2 linked regions of the Drosophila melanogaster genome follow. The protein of the gene in region 2 interacts with the protein of the main gene of each other region in a pairwise test. Each region holds a gene or a part of one and is shown on either strand. Other genes may lie near its edges.

Region 1 (7,272 bases), on a different chromosome or scaffold from region 2:
CTTGGCCTTCTCCTTTTTCAGGTCCTTGTCGTAAAACTTGCCGCTCTTCGTGAAGGTCTTCTGCTCGTTGCGCATCTCGGCCAGCTTTCGGTTCTTCTGTTTGATGATGTTCTTCTTGTTGGCCGACTTCTTCTTGCCCGCCTCGGAGATCTGCACCTTGATGTTGCGTCCCTGCAGCTCTGTGTTGTGCAGCTGGAAGGCATTCTGGAAACTGCTTAGGTCGGCCATTTCCACAAAGGCGAAGCCCCCTCGTCGCTTCTTGGGAATGCGGATAGACTTGACCGTGCCTGCCGCAGAGAAGTGCAGCTCCAGGTCGTCCTTTGTGGTTTCGAAGTTCAGGTTCGTCACGTACAGGACGTGTCTGTTGGTTTTGGAGGCTCCTCGAAGCAGTGAACTCAGCTGGTCACTGGTTATCTGCCCATTTTCCGCAGATTCCTCTTCCTCGGCTCCGGAAGCAGCACTGCCCTCAGCGGCTGCCTCGTCGTCGGACTTGGCCTCATCCTCGCTCTTACTATCCTCCGGGTCACTGGGATTCCGTCCGTCCTCCTTGTCCACATACGTGCCCTCGAAGATCTCCCTTCGCTTCTGGTCATCGAAGTTTCCCAATAGATCCGCACTGTCGTCGTTGACTGTGCGTTGAACTCGCTTGGGATTGAAGAAAGCCTCCACCTCATAATCGCTGCCAGAATCACTGGCCATCGTGATATTTCTGGGGGAGATTGCAGTGCACACCGATACGCAGACACCACCACGTGGGATTCCCTCTGAATGGCAAATCTGTGCGGTCCCAGACATTTTCCAGCACTGGCTAATTGCGCGCCAAGAAATTCAAATCCCAGGCCATATTGCAATCGCAGCTTGTTAGAAACCGGTTGCAACTGCGGGAGCAAAATCAGACTGCTAATGGAGTTATGCGAAAATAATGCTAATCGGCGTTAGCATCGAAGGAACCGGTTAGCTCTTATCAGCTAAAAATTAATCGTGCGGTGCTGACAATTGATGAACGTGGTTGTTTTGGGAATCTTCCGCACAGATCTCCAAAGATAACCCCCCGAATATGATATGCCGAGTGGGGCGATAATTAATGCCTGCAGAATGACTGCATCTATGTCTTTTGTTTAATTAAGACAAACGACCGCTGGGAGCCAGTTATGAAGAAAATTTATGCAGTTGGTGATTCCGGCCGGTAAAATGTCAGTGGAGAGCTACATATAAAAGCGCAATTTTCGGCAACCAGCAGTCAAAATTTTATCGCTATCTATCAGCACACACATCCCCTTTCCAACCATGAAGTTTGTGGTAAGTGGCATCGAAATTAGATTTTGGGGACCTCTGAACAACGATTTGTCTTTTAGATCGTTCTTGCCTGCCTTTTGGCCGTGGTCTTCGCCAACGAGGAGGCTGATGTTGTAAAGAGCGACTCCGAGGTTAACTTGCTGGACTTTAACTACGCTTATGAGCTATCCAACCATATTCGCGCCGTGCAAACTGGAGCCTTGAAGGAGCACGACAACTGGGTGGTTTCCGGGGAGTACGAGTACGTGGCCCCCAACGGCAAGACCGTCAAAGTGGTCTACACCGCCGATGAAACCGGCTACCACCCAAAGGTCGTCGAGGCCTAATGAACAGGACCCACTCCCGAAGACCGAAATAAAAAATTAAATCCATTGCAGCAGCGAACATTTTGAATTTCCGTTCTTTTTCTTTTGTGTGAATAGACACTCTTCTTCTTTCTGCCACTAAAATCTAGGGCTGGCAAATTACGAGCGAAATTTTATACAATGTTATCGCTTGTCTCGCAAATTTGCATTAATGTGTAAAGTTAAGTAAACTCATTAAAACTATGTCTGGGCAGCCAACAGCCGTGGACTGCTTAGAGAGCAGTGGAAGCACAGTGGAGGATGTCCAAGAAACACCGGCGTCGAGGGAAAAAAGTTACGGGTTGCCGGTGCGCAAAGGAGAAAATAGCTTGGAGTCTCCTGCAGAACAAGCCGCAAAGGATGTGGAAATTGAGGAACTGACACACAGTGAAGCAATCGCCGCCACCGGTTCAACCAGGAAGCAGTGCCCATATGGAGGTAAGGCCCCTGATGAACCTGGAAAGTTGGCCGACGAATCGGAGGACCGCAAGGGAGAGAACACGAAAGCCATTGCAAGCAGCCCGGTTTTGGTAGCTGTGGATTCGGACAGCAGTGTTGAGCTAATAGAGAGTCCTGTCAAATTCTCCTCCGCCAACGAAAGTGAGAAAGATCCGCCAAAACCAGATGCTGTCAATGAAGCTGCGGCTAAAGAGGCCGAGGAAATGACTGATAGCAGCATCAGCAGTCCCACATCCGAAAGTTTTCCTGAAAAAGATGAAAAGACCAATAAGGAAAATGAGCAAGAACCTCCTGGCATGGAGGTAGATCAGGACGTCGAGGAGTCAATAAGTCGACCAGCAGAAGAATACAAAATTGAGAATACATTAAAAGGTCACAAGCGTATTAGCTTAACGGAAATCGAAGAACACAAAATTGTTGATAAAAAAGACGATGTCCTAGAGGTGGAGCTTGAAAAGGGCACTGCTCCGAAAGCTGCAGAAGACGAGAAGCTGAACGCTTTGTTATCAGATGGAGATGTCTTCTACGACAAGGAATGTGTCAACTGCAATTGCACAAAGCTTCATAAACAGTACGTGTTGGCTAACATGGCCACTTTAAACTTTTACCAGGTGCTCCGAAAGTCTTCCAAGCAGCAGTTCCTCTGCATGGGATGCCATGACACAGCAATGGACTTGTATGAGGTCAACTAGCATATTTATTAACTTAAGAGGGAAACTTAGAACGTATTTCTTTATTTAGGAGTATGCTGGACAACTAATGGCCAAGCAGCCGCTGCTGCTAAAGGATTTCCATCAGGATCACGCCGACTTTGTGGCTCTGGACAGCAGCGATGAGGAGGAAGAGGAGAAGCAGCCAGGTGAGACTGCTATCATGATAAATAAACAATAGCAAAAAAAAAAACGTACTAAATATATTTTATCCGCACAGAAAAATCGGACTTTTCGAAAAACAAGCTGCAGCTCATCGAAGATGAACTCGATGATGCCATCAAAAATGTACTTAACAAGGTGGATTTTACGGCTCAGCTGTCCTGGTCAAAAACTATTCTCCAGGCGAAAGCAGACCACTTGGAGCGACAATTCGCACTGGCAGATGTGGAACTCGAAAAAGTTCAGACCACCGCTGACAAAATGCACTGCGCTTTGTATAACTCGTGTCCGGTGGCACACAAACATCTGCCCACCCTGGACATTGAACCCAGTGACTATGTGGTAAGTAAGAAGTGATGCCGTTTGGATCTGATTTAATACAACCATTTACTCAGCATGAAGTTCCACCTCCTGGCGAAATCGTGCGTCCTCCAATACAGTTGGGAGAGACATACTACGCTGTTAAGAACAAGGCTATTGCCAGCTGGGTGTCCATAAAGGTAATCGAGTTTACAGAGAGCACCGCCATCAACGGAAACACGATGAAGAGCTACAAGATTAGGTACCTCAACACTCCGTACCAGATGATCAAGACAGTGACGGCCAAGCACATTGCCTACTTCGAACCACCGCCAGTGCGACTGACCATTGGTTAGTTCCCAATAGACCGGTTATTTATCAATCTATAAACTAACCCACTCATTGTGCACTAGGTACCCGCGTGATTGCGTACTTCGATGGCACCACTTTGTCGCGGGGCAAGGATAAGGGCGTGGTGCAGAGCGCCTTTTATCCAGGCATCATCGCTGAGCCGTTGAAGCAGGCCAATCGCTACCGCTACCTAATATTCTACGACGATGGGTACACTCAGTACGTTCCGCACCGCGATGTCCGTCTAGTTTGCCAGGCTTCCGAGAAAGTGTGGGAGGACGTACACGCCGCATCGCGCGATTTCATACAGAAGTACGTGGAGAAGTACTCCGTGGATCGTCCAATGGTGCAATGCACCCGGGGACAAAGTATGACCACTGAATCGAACGGGACCTGGCTGTACGCGCGCGTCATTGACATCGACTGCAGCTTGGTGTTGATGCAGTTTGAGGGCGACAAAAACCATACGGAGTGGATATACAGGGGTTCATTGCGCTTGGGTCCTGTCTTCAGGGAAACCCAGAACAATATGAACAGTTCAAGCGCACAGCAGCTGCGTGTCCCAAGAGTAAGCATCGTGTCGATTCATCCTGCGGTCCTAACTACAAAATGTCTTTCTTTTTCAGCGCACGGAGCCCTTTATTCGGTACACCAAGGAGATGGAGTCCAGCAGCAAGGTGAACCAGCAGATGCGTGCCTTTGCCCGCAAGAGCAGCGCCTCCGCCCAAAATAACGCATTAGCGGCTGCATCTTCGGCAGCAACCCCAGCCGGAGGACGCACCAATGCAGGAGGTGTCAGCACCAGTAATAGCGCAAGTGCTGTGCGACACCTAAACAACTCGACAATCTACGTGGACGACGAGAACAGGCCCAAGGGCCATGTAGTCTACTTTACAGCCAAGCGGAATCTGCCTCCCAAAATGTACAAGTGCCACGAGTGCAGCCCGAACTGCCTCTTTAAGATCGTTCACCGTCTGGACAGCTACAGTCCGTTAGCGAAGCCTCTGCTTTCTGGCTGGGAACGTCTTGTCATGCGGCAGAAGACCAAGAAGTCTGTGGTATACAAGGGACCTTGTGGCAAAAGCTTGCGCAGCCTGGCCGAAGTTCACAGGTACCTTCGAGCTACTGAAAATGTGTTGAACGTAGACAATTTTGACTTTACGCCCGACCTCAAGTGTCTGGCCGAGTACTCCATTGATCCCTCGATCGTGAAGGACACGGACATTTCAAAGGGGCAGGAGAAGATGGCGATTCCGCTGGTAAACTACTACGACAACACCCTGCCGCCCCCATGCACCTACGCGAAGCAGCGCATCCCTACCGAGGGTGTTCATCTGAATCTGGACGAGGAGTTCCTCTTGTGCTGCGACTGCGAGGACGACTGCTCGGTAAGACGTCTTACAGATCTGATTACCTCAAATTATACCCAGCCGCCCACTATTTTGTGTATCCCTATCAGGACAAGTCAAAGTGCGCCTGTTGGCAGCTAACGGTGGCGGGCGTGCGGTACTGTAACCCGAAGAAACCCATCGAGGAGATAGGCTACCAGTACAAGCGGCTCCACGAGCACGTGCCCACCGGCATCTACGAGTGCAACTCGCGCTGCAAGTGCAAGAAGAATTGCCTGAACCGGGTGGTGCAGTTCTCCCTAGAGATGAAACTGCAGGTGTTCAAGACCTCAAATCGTGGATGGGGCTTGCGCTGCGTTAACGACATCCCCAAGGGTGCTTTCATCTGTATTTACGCCGGCCATCTGCTCACGGAGACGATGGCCAACGAAGGCGGACAGGACGCCGGCGACGAGTATTTCGCGGACTTAGATTACATAGAGGTCGCTGAACAGTTAAAAGAGGGATACGAGTCGGAGGTGGACCACTCGGACCCGGACGCCGAGGAGGACAACGGGGGACCCGATGCCGAGGACGATGACGACTTCCGGCCAAACTATCACTACCAGCGCAAAATCAAGCGCTCTTCCAGAAGCGGCTCCACGCAGAACAGCTCCACTCAGAGCAGCGAGTTGGACTCGCAGGAGCGTGCGGTGATCAACTTTAACCCAAATGCTGATCTGGACGAGACGGTGCGGGAGAACTCGGTGCGGAGGCTTTTCGGCAAGGACGAGGCGCCCTACATCATGGACGCCAAGACAACGGGCAACCTTGGACGCTATTTCAACGTGAGTTGGAAGTTTTTTGTTATTTTGCCGTGTGGCTGATTCTCTTCTTCTCCCGCAGCACTCGTGCAGCCCCAATCTCTTCGTGCAGAACGTGTTCGTGGATACTCACGACCTGCGTTTCCCCTGGGTTGCCTTCTTCTCGGCCGCGCACATCCGCTCCGGCACCGAGCTGACTTGGAACTACAATTACGAGGTGGGCGTGGTGCCCGGCAAGGTGTTGTACTGCCAGTGCGGGGCCCCCAATTGCCGCCTTCGTCTGCTCTAAGTTCTAGCTTAAGTTAGAGATCCATACAGGAAATATACTCATTAAAGAAGAATTAGAATTAAAAATTTAAACTTTAAACATTATCTGTTCCGTTAGGGTAACGGAAACATTGCATTTTTATAAGCTACTGCTGTTCTGCACCGTCCGTTTCAAAGTACACAATTTTCTTCACGTTTAGTGTTAAAGGAATAAATATAGACAAATGAATTTTAAAAAATTATACTTTAAAAAAATAATAATGTTCGTTAATTTAACGGTATTAATTTATGTGGTATTTTAACGCATTTTACCTAGTGGTATACTTAATCATCAGCCGTACGGTATTTTTAATCGTTATCCGAACGGTCACACTATCCACCGAGCAAAAAAGCAAATTTAGGCTTTTTAAAATTCGAGAGTAGCTAAATTAGGGGCCGCAATGCGCCAAGCTCACCTGTAAGTGGCTCCAGCAAGTGTCTCGTCGCAGGTGCACAGGTGCTAGGCAGCAGGACTCCGCCGACGGCTGACTAAGAGCAGCTTATCCGCCCCTTGGGAAGAAAAAATCGATTTTGTGATAACGGGCTTACGCTTACGCGTTTTTGCACTGCTAGTCGGAACCAATTGCCAGTAGACTCCACACCATGAATGTGGACTTTGCGAGGGTGTGCGGGAAGCACATAGGCGTCTACGAGGCCTACTACAAACTGGTAAGCGCACCACGCCTCCAAGCCGCACTGTTACCAGGATGGCGGCCAATGTTGAGCATCCGTATCCACACCCACCCTCTATCGATTTTTGCAGATTGACCCCAAAGGCACAGGGGCAATCGAGGCCATGACTGCGGCCAAGTTTCTCAAGAAGTCGGGCCTTAGCGACGTTGTGCTAAGCAGGATCTGGGACCTGTCTGATCCGAGCGGCAAGGGCTTTCTGGACAAGCCGGGCTTTTTTGTAGCCCTTAAGCTGGTGTCCCTGTCGCAGGCGGGACAGGTGGCCAGCATGGCCAACATCTACCTGGACATTGCCAACCCGCCCAAGTTGGTGAGTAATCGCAACTTCGCCCGAAATGGGCAAGACGAGATATATTACATTAATGTCGCCCCAATCGCCAGGGTGAACTACCAAAAACGATGCCGTCGCGTATTCAGACTGTTCCCGTTGCTAGCGGCGGAGTGGCAAACGGAGACTGGTCCATCGGGGTGATCGATCGGCTCAAGTACGAGCAGCTCTTCG
Region 2 (6,207 bases):
TCTTCAAATCGAAATAGATAGAAAACGGTTACAATCCGGGTTGTGATTTGAATCATCTAAAAACTACAGGCAAACTTCTTGAGTAAAAACCTTTGGCACACGAGGAATTATTTCTGAATTTCTCGAAGGTAAAGTTTTCAACACAGAACCATTAACTTTAAAAGCCAGCAAACCCCAAAAGATGACCAATGCAATATATAATTCCTTGCTTTGTTTGCTTTTTTTTTAGCCCAAAAAACACAATTTGGTTTCCATTTAAGGACAAAGTGCGTGTAATCCGCAAAGTATGCTATAAGAACGAATGTTTAAGATGTCCCAATAAGACTAGTGTTTGAAATCCAGCATTTCTTTAAAGTATCCTACCATAAACGGATTGCAACCCACTGTGCCCGCGATCGCCGAGGTATGCAATGGAATTTGATATGGCCAACAGCTCTGGGGTAACCACAATAAAGAACGAGTTTATCTATTCTGAGCCGCTGTTCATTAGCCGAGAGCCCTCACTGTATCGATGTTGATGTTGGTGTGTCATGGCAGGCTGGATGACGTGATTGTCTCCTCTCCTCTTCGCTGCTCTGCTCTTCTCTTCCCCTTCCACGCTCTCCCACTCTCTTGCTCGATGGCTTTTCTCCTTTCTCTGCGCCCGCATATGATTAAAACGGCAAAACAAGATAAAACTCGTTGGAGCAAAGGAGCTGCTGCCGCCTGCTTGTTGGCTTTGTTGTTGTTGCTGTTGGATAGGCCCTGCGAGTGGGTCAGTGTTCGAAAAGGGTGTGAGGTTGCGGGTGGGGGTGGTGGGTAAGTAGGGGGTTGTGGGAGGTAGAATATACGCATGACACTCCTTGCCGCCGCACACACACACACTTGCAAAGATACACCAACACTAGCGGAGCACGCGACACACGCACACGAGGTCACTCACACAGGCGCAGGGCCGTATTCCCCAACACCCACACAATCGCACGCGTTAAATGTTATTAGTTTATTTACGGTATTAACAAAATGTTATTGGCATGAATAGTGTAGTACATCGTACATCATGCATCACACTGGAGTATGTACATCAGAGCAGGGAAAACACCCACACACAGACACGGATATGGTTTTTAAGCACTTTTCGGCATTGTGACAGTAACGCGTTGGGGATTTTAGTTACTGGGTTTCCATTTTCATTTCATTTCTTTTCTTTTGTGGCAAAGGAAGGGGGTGTCTTTATATTTCTCTTTTTCGCTTTCTTCTTGCTTTTTGAGCAGCGATGACGACAGCGTGCGCGGCTCTTTTTCCCAACGCTGCTCCGCTTTTTTGCCTTCAATAACATTTACACTTTGCACTATTTATGTAATAGTTTTTCAATCGGTGCGCGGTGTTTCATCTCAGCACGATTTTCGGGCACTGGCTGGCGAGCACTAGCCGCAGACTGGGTTACGAATTATGTACATTTTTCACATTTTTCCCCGATGATTTTTCTTTTGTGTTTTACTACCAATGAAGAGAACAAACTACCAATACACACGCACGCACTCTCGCACACACACTCACTGAGCACGCACTGACACACACACATGCCACCGCTCAATGACGAAATTCCTCGCAAAGCGTTGACAACTCTAGGTTCTAGCTCTCCCAGCTCCACTGCTTTTGCTTCTGCTGCGTGTGCGAGTGTGTGTGTGTGAGAGAGAGAGAGAGATGGGTACTTGTGCTGGTGTGCTTTTCGTCATAATTTTTGCGTTGGGCAACCCAGCACCTTTGACTTCTTGGCGACTTTTCACACGTAAATGACCGAGGGGGCTCACACTTTCACCGCTGGCACACAGACTGGGCCTTAAACCGATCGACTTTGCACAATTTTTCGCATTTACCTAGCACACAAAACACAAAAATTCGATTTTTTCCTCGCTGATATTTTCACGCGAATGACCTTACATCACATGCATACAATACACACACACACAGACAACTGAAGCGGTGGTATGACCAAGGCTTATAGTCAAATAGTAGCAAAAATACTGAACGATATATACTAAAAAGACTATAGAATGCCATTATCCAACACTGGCGCTGAGCGGATGAAGTTTTGCCATCTCTGTCTTACTCCCAGGCTAAGAACTAAATTCCCTCATATATTCTAGCAATATGTTATTCTTAGAATTCTGTGGAAACACGTAAATTATAACTGGTTCGCAGATTAAGCTTAAACTTAGTTAATAAATAAAAATACGCTTTTCTGATAAACTTTTGTAACGTTATGAGCTTACTTCCTTTGTTCCTAATTTATTATGACATTAAAATCATTAGGAATTATAAAATTTTCACATCAGCAGTTTGAACTCGCAGTGCGACCGTTAAATTCTTAGCGTTCTGGCCACACCTGAAATCTGGTATTGTGCCAATCTCTGCGAACGGTCACACTGCATCAGTCATCAAAGCGGGTGTGGATCGCTGTTGGTTTTGTGTTGTTTCATTTTTTCGAATCTTTGAGTTCCCGAGTTAGTTTTATTTACCTTTCTGTTGTTTAATAAAATGTGCATGGCCTGCTGAGCAGCCAGATTAGATCGAATTTCAGTACCGAGGTGAGTAGAAATGGCTTTTCGGAGCTCTTCCACTTGGCGACCCGCCCAAAAATCGTGTGTTTGGCCGTCTCCAAAATGCCTAAGCCAGTGTTATTGTGTTGTTGCTGTTGTTGTTGTTGGCACATGGGCGTTGACCGAAAAACGAAGAAGTGCCTCAAATATTGGTTACAACTTTGTACTATGTGCTCGTTGCTTTAATTAGTAATTGTAAAGGAAGTTTTTCGTTAGGAACACTTTGCCACTAAAAGGAAATGTGAGTGAGGATGGCGTTTTGGCCACCTGCTGGCCAATTGGATTGCGGCGTCTTCTTTCGTTTTTCTGCCTTCAAGCTCTCGAATTTCCGCCAACAGTTGCTCCTTTGGCCGCCCAAAATGTCCTGCCTGCTGTTTCAATTGCACTTTTGCCCTCTCAACTCATTTCGAATGGGTCTTCTCGGCTAATTAATGCCCACTTTACTTGTGTATTACGCTGGTGCTGGTGCGCCCTCTTGCACTGGAAAAAGTGATGTCAAATATATTTGTTATATAGAAATGTTATACCGAAATGGCATTTTTAAACGAAAGAAAACTCTATAAAAAGATTTTTTTAAATAACAAAATTCAATATTTTTTTTTATAATGAAAAATATTTATATTTTTAATATGAAAAATCCCATTTAATCAAGATCTTATTTATTTCAAAAGGTGAAAAAAATAAATCTAGTAAACTATTTTCTCTCTGTGTAGCTGTGCGCAAAGGGTGGATTACAAGTCGCGTTGTTGAAATTATTACGAGTTCGGTATTTGTTTTCACCGCCGAGAGTAGAGACTGGCCTATAGGCCAGTAACTTCTGCTGCTTCAGTGCACAGAGTATCTCGCCCAGGCCGATATCTATGGTCAGGTAGCCGGTTGTTTCATTTGCGTGTTTCGCTCAGTTCCAGTGGTCTACCTTTACCTTCATTTGCTCGCCAGTGAATGCATTTCAAATGCAGCCAGCCACACACACACACGCACTCCCTCCATCCATCCTTCAATTTCATTTCACCTCACTTGTCTAGAAGTCGGTGCCGGTGCCTCATTGTTCTCCTGGCGTGGACCCTTTTTGTATGGTTGCCATTAAGCGTTGACTTCTTACCCTACACCATGGAGTTAATACCTGAGTAGGGAGGATTTCGAGGTCCTTGCTCGAATGATGTATTCCCTGTGTGCCGGCTGATTGTGTGCTGATAAGCTGGAATACTTAAATATGCGCATTTTTTAATGTTGCACACATTTCTCCACCAGCAATTTGCAAAAAAAAAATAAATAATTTTTAAAAATGAATTTTTTAAGAACTCCTAAGAACTGTTTTAATTGAGTTCAAACGTTCCTTACAATTTGTCATACTTTTGAATTTTAAGTAGATTAAATTAAAAGTTCACATCATTATTGATATGAAAAATTGTCTATAGTATAGTATGGGTATATTCATAATTATTCCTCGAAAATCAAAGTGGTTTGTGAAGCTGAGATTTCGTAATCTCTTATAAATCAACCATAAATAACGAAGGCATTAAAAACCCATTCAAAAGAAGATTCGAACGCCTCAAATCCCAGCGTGGCATACATCTCTGCTGTCTAATTGCGCCGCCCACTTGAATGACATTTTACTTAATGTTTGACATAGTTTCCATATTGCCGCTGGCCCCTTAAAAAGATCTCCCTGAAGATACGTTCATTGCTCCTGCCGGATCGCGTCTATAGTCTATTAATACCGATGTCGGCGCCCTCATTAACGACTTGTTCGCATCACGCGGAAATCAACCGACCAACAACAATCCTCGAACATGAGATGCGGTCCATGACTTAGGGATTAGGGTGCTTTGGAAATACATATATGCGAAAAATTTAAAAAAATCTTAAGTACTTAACTACAGGCTATATTTAAAACAAAGTATTGGTAGGAGGTTATGCACTTATTTTTAAAGAGCAGCTTATTCAGGGATGTTAAAAGTGATTCTTATTCAATATCACAAAAAAACTTCATACAAAGCTTACTATTTTTTATCGAAAAATCGAATAAACTCGAAAATTTGTTTTGAAAACCATTGATACACCCTATTCGACAGGCATTAAAGAACAGGCCGATCACCCAAATCAGAGGCCTCTATTTATAGTATTTGGGAGATGCATTTATGCCCAGCGATTCTAATTCATTCACTTCTGACTTCTCCTCTCAGCAATGATGTGGCACTTGCTGCGCGCCCTGCTCGTGGTAGCCGCCGTCTTGGATGCACTGCAACCGGCGGTCGGACAAAACGACAACTACTACAACCCCAACCAGAACCAGCAGAATCCCCAGCAGCCGCTACTGCCCAACCAGCAGTGGGGTAACAATCCACAGACGAATCAGTATAGCAACAACAACCAAAACTTTGGCCAAACGAATCCCAGTGATCGCCCGCCGTACAGGACCGATTCGGGGAGCTACAACGATATTGCCGGGCAAGATGACTATAATAAACGAGTGGGAGGAGGCTATCAGGACAACGAGGAGCCGAGTCTGACTCGTGGAAAGTCGTCCTATAACATCAAGGCCACCTTCCTGGAATCGCTGCATTCCAGGGAGCCCACTTACTTCATTGTGGCATCTCGAATGGTCAGACCTGGTCTAATCTATCAGGTGTCCGTATCCATTCTTCAAGCTCAGTACCCGATAACCGTTCATGCCAGCATCGCGTGCGATGGTGTCCAAATCAGCGGAGACTCTAAGGATGTCAAGGAGGGCATACCGGAGACGTTGCTCATGAGGATCCCACCAACTAGTGTGACTGGAAGCTATAAGCTTCGAGTGGAAGGTTTCTACCAGAACGTTTTCGGTGGCCTCGCCTTCCTGAACGAAACAAGACTAGACTTCTCACAGCGCTCCATGACGATATTTGTGCAGACCGATAAGCCTCTTTATATGCAAGGGGAAACTGTGCGATTTAGGACCATTCCGATCACCACCGAACTGAAGGGATTTGACAATCCCGTCGATGTGTACATGCTGGATCCAAACAGGCATATTCTTAAACGTTGGCTATCGCGGTAAGTGGAATTATTATATTTCATACGTCTTAATAGTTCCTCTCCATCAACAAATTAAATTGCAAATAAACAACCTATTTCCTTTTAACTTTCAGTCAATCAAACTTGGGTTCCGTTTCGCTGGAGTACAAACTTTCGGATCAGCCCACTTTTGGAGAATGGACTATCCGTGTAATAGCTCAGGGACAGCAAGAGGAGAGTCACTTCACCGTGGAGGAATACTATCAGACCCGATTCGAAGTGAATGTTACCATGCCTGCGTACTTCTTCACAACGGATCCGTTTATCTACGGAAGGGTGATGGCTAACTTTACCAGTGGCCTACCAGTTAGAGGCAATCTCACAATCAAGGCCACGATCCGCCCAATTGGATACTTCAGCAACCAAGTTCTAAATGAGAAGTATCGCCTGGGTCGTTCACCTTTGGAGCAAACTAACCTATACAATGAGCGATGGCGCTACAATAATCCCAACCAGAATCCGCAAGTGCAGTATAATGTGCCTGGACAACTGCCACAGGATGGAGCAGATCTTTCACAGGATATTTTGTACAGGAATCAATATGTGGTCGAGCGACACTATCAGTTCG

What was found. Proteins that work in one complex are often made in the same cells at the same time.
Region 1: the proteins of Mcr (region 2) and egg interact in a two-hybrid assay, tested with the Drosophila melanogaster proteins (one study listed by BioGRID).

The regions. Positions count from the first base shown.
Region 1 is NT_033778.4:24,774,385-24,781,656, reverse strand, and holds egg (eggless), read left to right. Parts: upstream 1-1,755; 5' UTR 1,756-1,843; coding exon 1,844-2,782; intron 2,783-2,840; coding exon 2,841-2,958; intron 2,959-3,029; coding exon 3,030-3,313; intron 3,314-3,366; coding exon 3,367-3,622; intron 3,623-3,684; coding exon 3,685-4,190; intron 4,191-4,248; coding exon 4,249-5,010; intron 5,011-5,081; coding exon 5,082-5,798; intron 5,799-5,856; coding exon 5,857-6,063; 3' UTR 6,064-6,123; downstream 6,124-7,272. Other genes in the region: CG3594 (uncharacterized protein), read right to left, coding at 1-699; Lcp9 (larval cuticle protein 9), read left to right, coding at 1,288-1,299, 1,356-1,622; Eps-15 (epidermal growth factor receptor pathway substrate clone 15), read left to right, coding at 6,684-6,749, 6,844-7,080, 7,152-7,272. UniProt on the Drosophila melanogaster protein: Histone methyltransferase that specifically trimethylates 'Lys-10' of histone H3 (H3K9me3) in ovary. H3K9me3 represents a specific tag for epigenetic transcriptional repression by recruiting Su(var)205/HP1 to methylated histones.
Region 2 is NT_033779.5:8,079,174-8,085,380, reverse strand, and holds the start of Mcr (macroglobulin complement-related), read left to right. Parts: upstream 1-2,398; 5' UTR 2,399-2,570; intron 2,571-4,768; 5' UTR 4,769-4,770; coding exon 4,771-5,618; intron 5,619-5,713; coding exon 5,714-6,207.